2 separate regions of the Mus musculus genome follow, and region 1 is reported to be linked to region 2. Evidence: microRNA targets listed by miRTarBase, many of them from high-throughput screens and not tested one by one. Region 2 holds a microRNA gene; the other region holds the end of a gene's coding sequence.
The links. Region 2 holds the annotated microRNA mmu-miR-466a-3p (UAUACAUACACGCACACAUAAGA, at 1,506-1,528, shown strand). A microRNA usually pairs through its seed, bases 2 to 8, with sites in the 3' UTR of a target mRNA and lowers its output. Matches are read on the target gene's strand: a 7mer-m8 pairs with bases 2 to 8, a 7mer-A1 pairs with bases 2 to 7 and ends in A, and an 8mer does both.

Region 1 (3,142 bases), not on the chromosome of region 2:
TTCCCAAGCCAAAGGATCACCACACTTTGGGGAACAGGCCGAGCTCTGGGGGCAAGTGAACTGGGATTCCTGAGTGAGGCCTGGTACACAGCAGGTGGCAATGGCTGCTGAAGAAGGGAACTACAGTTTCAACCTCATTAGTTCATGCAGCTCAGTGCCTGCCCACAGGGAGCGCGGTACACCACCAATGGGTGAGTGTATATATATATATATATATATATATATATATATATATACATACATACATAAATACATATACAGTGAGAGTGTAAGGTTCTCTCCTGGGGGGGCCATGAGCCCTGTGAAGCTCCATCAGATACTGAGTACAGAAAGGTGAACTGCCATGGGGGCTGAGGCCTCTGTGCACTGGGCTGTTCGGCACTGTAAGCCTCAGAGCTATAGGACTCCCTGCTGGACAACCTGGGCAAAGTAGCCTCCTCCACAACCAGGACGCAGCTATCTGAACCCCCGCCTAGAGCATGTAAAGAACACCAGAATGTTTCTAAGTGTACTTTTCTCTTCTTTTTACAGTGCAGTTGTTTGAACCTAGGGCCTTTGGCATCCTAGGCAGACATCCTACCACTGCACTACATCCCTAGCCTGAGATGACACCTTTGAGCCTCATGGGCATCTCCCTAGCCCCGTTAATGGTAGTACACGAACACAAACCTGACAGGAACCCTGTCACTCAGCCAGGCCGTACTTGCTTGTTTATAAGGCAGCAGCAATATGAGGTCATAACCTCCTGGGCCCAAGTAAAAGGGGCTTTTAGAGAGGCTGGTGAGAGGGGTCTTACTCCTGAGCCCTAGTCTCTGCCAACTCCAGTCTACCTGAGCCCAGGCCAGATCGGAACCTCTTCAAAAGAACAGTACATGTAACCTAGGCTGAAGAGCAGCTACTAGAAGCTACCCAGCCTTGAGTGTACCTCCAAGGCCCAGATCTGGCTCTCTGCAGATTTGAAAGCAGGTCTGTCAAAGCTGGATGGTAGTTCCTAACCTGGGTATCTGGCTGATATGGAGGCTGCTGGTATAAACACATTAGACTTTTGAAAACCCAGCCAAGTAGCTAGTGCTGGAGACCCCCACCAGCCACGATTGCCCAAGGTTTTCTAGGTCATCTTTGGGGAGGCTGGGTACTTAGGTGGTCAGATGGTCCTTAGTGTGCATAGATGGAGCCTGCTACCTGAGCTCCAGTTCTGTTGCTCTATGCTTTCCCTCAGCTTTTGATATTTATGCAGATTTTTGACTGGGATGTAGTCGTGGCTCCAAGGAACTATATTCTTGGGCCTAGGTGGAAATCACTTTTGGATACGTCACTCAAGGCTTTGCCCATTGCCAAGCTGTTACATCCCTTCTCCACTTCATGTTTGCAAGGCTCAGAGTAGGAGACATAAAGACAAGGAGGACCGGGACAAAGGCTCTGGATGGAATTCCTGCAAAGACACAGTGCCCCTCCTTAAGACGCAGGTGCCTTAGCTCCAGACGGCCAGCAGTCATCTGAATCCACAGCTGGGCAGAGCAGCAGATACAAAATGTGGACATTCCTTTGAGCCTTTTCTCCTTCAACCTGGGCTATCCAGCCATAGTTCCTGGAGAAGGCTGGTGCAGGAAGAGCCCATGGGGCTAGAGGTTGACTCTAAGGCACTGCAGAGTTCCCAGATGGTTGCAAAGGCTAGGGCATGTTTCCAGGTAGATCAGACTGCCCTGGAGCTAAACAAAGTGCTTTGTGGTTTGTCCTGCCCATTGATCCAAACACTTGCTAACCTCATGAATAGAAGACCTATCCAGAATGGAGTACTTAAAGGGGGCTGGGGAGTGGGAGGGACTAAAAATCCAAGTAGAACAGAATTTGCTATACTCTCTGCTGCATCCAAAACCTCACCAGGCACCGGGCTCACCAGGGACTGGATGGAGCCTAGCCTGGGCTTTGATCCAGCACCATAAGGACCTGAGTTATCAGAGCAAGGGCAAGAGAGCCCCAGAGACCACCTCACCCTGTCAGTCAGCACTCATGGGTTCCCCAGGAAGAGCATCTTTCCAAACAGGTTTAATGTTTTTAAAACAAAACCAAGAACCAAATGCTTCCCCACTGAGATGAGACCAGGTAGCACCAGGGAAGCAGATGAAACAGCAGCAGCCTCAGGCAGTGCACTCGGAGGCAGGTAGGTGTGTGTGTGTGTGTGTGAGCCCCATAGGGGCCAGAGTGGAAGTACAGTCAACTGTTCTCCAGTAGGGGCTGTGCTTATGTGCCCACATGTGCCTACCCAGGGAAGAACATAGCCACTTCCCCAGACCCTGTGGATTGGGGCAGTACATCCTTTACTTATAGAACTCCTCCAAACTGGGCTGGGCTTGCATCCCCGGACCCATACAGTGGACTACCGGGGAGAAAAGGTGGAAGATGGCAGACTGTATGTGCCCCCTCTCTCCCAGTGAGGCAGGAAAAAGACCACTGGGCCAAGGTAGTCACACACCATCATCAGAAGTTACAGCTGAGGGCCCAATACCCCCAAGCCTCCGTGCCATGGTAATGAGAGAACGTAGCTGCACAAGCCTCAGCGGCCCCACTTCTCTGGGATCCTGGCTCTCTAGCCACCTCAGAGCTGTCTCTAGTCCCCAGACAGCTTCCCCAGCAGTAGGTACCAACACTCCTCCTTGTTCGGTGGCCTCCTCCTCCTCCTCTCCAGCCCCGATGCTAGAGGGCAGGCTAGCTGGGGATGGAGGAGCAGCGGGGGCCACCTCTTCTCTGCAGCCTTCCGGAAGGCCTCCATCATCATCCAGGTGTAGCCACTGGGCCACCTCTTCAGGTGCCAGGCGCTTGTAAGCCAGAGCTGCCAGATGTGTGAGGTCACTGAGCACCCTGCTGTGTTCGGCAGTCTCCTCTACCTGGTGAGCTGGCTGCTGCCCAGGCTCAAAGGCTGCTCGCAGACCCAGCAGCCAGCAGCGCTCTATGCTGCCTGCCTGGACCAAGTCCCAAGAGAGGCCAGCCAGGTACAGCATGTCCTTGAGAACGAAGCTTCTCATGAAGTCCAGAGGGGAGCCACTGGCACAAGACACAGCAAGCCGCAGGAGCTCGCGTTTGTACAAATGCTTGAAGGCTGCCACCACGCCGTGCTCCAACGGTGCAGGGATGTGTGCTCGGC
Region 2 (3,142 bases):
CTCACTCAGCAGGTGAAGTCCCTTCACAGAGTCAGGTTGATCAGGAGTTCAAATTTGTGCTGAATTTCATGATGAGTTCATGACCAGCATGGGATTCATCTTATGCCCACCAAAAATTTGCATGTGTGTATAGTTGTGTGCATATTCACTTCTCTATATGAATATGCATATACACACATGCACACACATTCATAGGAATGGCCAGAGCTATGTCTCAGTTAGGAGGTGAGTACTCTTGCCAGTGTCAGGAGGATGAGGAATTCAAATTTATGTTTAACTTCATGATGAGTTAGAGTTCAGTATGCGATTCATGTGATGCCCACCAGAATGTGCATGTGTGTATAGTTGTGTACATATTCACTTCTGTATATGAATATGCATATACTCACATGCAAACATACTCCCTCGAATGGCCTGAGCTATGACACAGTTAGGAGGTGAATACTCTTGCCAGCATCATGAGGATGAGTAGTTCAAATTCATGTTTAACTTTATGATGAGTTAGAGATCAGCCCGGAATTCATGTGATTTTCCCTGTGTTTGTGTTTATGTGTATAGGGAAGTATGCCTGTACATGCGCGTATATGAACATGCATATATATATATATATATATATATGTATACACACCCACACAACTAGGGACACATACATGTGCACACAAACACACATGGCAGTCATCCATTTGATTTATACGTGCTTATAATTTCATTGAGTGTATATTCATGGTATAGGGAATAATCTCACTTATCAGATGAAAACCACTTGCCAGAGTTAGGAGTCTCAGGAGTTCAAATTCATGCTTAACTTCATAATGAGTTAGAGATCACCCTGTATTTGTGTGATGGATCCTAGGTATGCACAAGTGCATATAATTGTGTGTGCACGTACATGTGTGTATATGATCATACATATAAATACACACACATACAAATGTATTCACACACACAGGCGTGCACACTCACACACATAAGAATGACACTCATTGATCCATTTGAATGATATATGTCTTAGAATTTTGCTGATTATAAAGTAGAGGGACAGTGAAGGTCTCACTCACCAGGTGTAAATAATTGGCAGTGTCAGGAGGATCAGGAGTTCAATTTCATGCTTAACTTCATGAGCAGTTAGAGATCATCCTGGAATAATGTGATGGCCCCTATGTATGTGCCCGTGTGCGTAAGTGCCTGCATGTATATGCGTGTATATTTTATGCATATACATACACACACCTACACACACATGCACACAGACATGCGGAAATGGCCTTCACGGATCCATTTGAATGATATGTGACCTACTGCTTTGGAGGTTATGTATGACTGGGCCAGGGTGAGGTCTCACAAACCACGGGAAAACCCTTGGTAGAGTCGGGAAGATCAGGAGTGCAAGTTCATAGTAAAGGCATGATGAGTTAGAGGTCATCCTGGCATTCATGTGATTGCCCCTACGTATGTGTATATGTGTTGATGTGTGTGTGCATGTACATATGTGAATATGATATACATATACATACACGCACACATAAGACACATATGAGCACACAGACACAGGGGAATGGCACTCGTCAATCCATTTGAATGATAAGTGACTTAGAGTGAAAATGCTTGCTAGAGTTAAGAGTATCAGGAGTTCAAATTTACACTTATCCTCATGAGAGATCAGCCTGTGATTCCTCCATGTATGTGCATGTGTGTATAGTTGTGTGTGCATGTTCATGTCTATATTTGAATATACATAACATACACACACACGTATAAACGCAAGCACACATACACAGACACAGGAATGGCATTCGCCAATCCCTTTGAATGATAAGTGATGTAGAGTTTTAGAGATTATGCAATAGGGGACATTGAATGGACTCACTCACCAGGTGTAAAAGATTGACAAAGTCAGGAGGATAAGGATTGCAAATTCAAGCTTAACTTCATTTGGAGATCATCTTGGTATTAATGTCATGCAACCCATGTATGTGCATGTGTGCTTACTTGTATGTGCATTGTATGTGTTGACATGATATACATAACATAAACACACGTGTTTATGCAAGCACACACACACAGGAAAAAATTGCATTCATTTATACGTTTGAATGACATGTGACTCAAAGTTTTCAAGATTATGAAGTAGTGGGACAGTGAAAGGTTTTACTCATCAGGTGTGAAAGATTGTGGATCAGGAGTTCTAATTCATGCTTTACTTCATGATGACTTAGAGATATGCCTGGGATTCATGTGATGTCCCCTATGTATCCCTATCTGTATCTGTTTCTATTGTGTGTGGATTTGAGTATATGGATGTACCTATCTACACAAATATGTACATGTACACAGACACAAACAGAAACACACACAAAAACATCAGTGCAACTCATCGATCCATTTGAATGACATGTGACTTAGAGTTTTAAGATTTTTCAGTACTGAATGGGGAGAGGTCTCACTCAGTAGGTGAAATCCCTTGACAGAGTCAGGTGGATCAGGAGTTCAAGTTCGTGCTGAATTTCATGATGAGTTCATGATCAGCATGGGATTCATATTATGCCCACCAAAATGTACATGTGTGTATAGTTGTGTGCATATTCACTTCTCTATATGAATATGCATATACACACATGCACACACATTCATAGGAATGGCCAGAGCTATGTCTCAGTTAGGAGGTGAGCACTCTTGCCAGTGTCAGGAGGATGAGGAGTTCAAATTCATGTTTAACTTCATGATGAGTTAGAGTTCAGCATGCGATTCATGTGATGCCCACCAAGAATGTGCATGTGTGTATAGTTGTGTACATATTCACTTCTGTATATGAATATGCATATACTCACATGCAAACATACTCCCACGAATGGCCCGTGCTATGACTCAGTTAGGAGGTGAATACTCTTGCCAGCATCATGAGGATGAGCAGTTCAAATTCATGTTTAACTTTATGATGAGTTAGAGATCAGCCCGGAATTCATGTGATTTTCCCTGTGTTTGTGTTTATGTGTATAGGGAAGTATGCCTGTACATGCGCGTATATGAACATGCATATATATATATATATATATATATATATATATATATATATATATATATACACCCACACAACTAGGGACACATTCATGTGCACACAAACACACATGGCAGTCATCCATTT

Region 1: the mRNA of Tigd5 is a reported target of mmu-miR-466a-3p. Seed matches in the 3' UTR shown: 7mer-m8 at 250-256, 7mer-m8 at 242-248, 7mer-m8 at 238-244 and 8mer at 233-240.

What each region holds. Positions count from the first base shown.
Region 1 is chr15:75,911,043-75,914,184 of GRCm38, reverse strand. It overlaps Tigd5 (tigger transposable element derived 5), which reads right to left. Exons shown (of 1, transcript NM_178646.4): 1 at 1-3,142. The coding sequence ends at 2,466. Among named protein-coding and RNA genes, the nearest start is that of Tigd5, 2.9 kb to the right of the region's middle.
Region 2 is chr2:10,482,514-10,485,655 of GRCm38, forward strand. Mir466c-2 (microRNA 466c-2) reads left to right here and starts at 1,453; the gene lies at 1,453-1,542. The region is part of intron 10 of Sfmbt2 (Scm-like with four mbt domains 2); the gene reads left to right. Mir467a-3 (microRNA 467a-3) reads left to right here and starts at 1,165; the gene lies at 1,165-1,247. Mir669a-6 (microRNA 669a-6) reads left to right here and starts at 1,683; the gene lies at 1,683-1,769.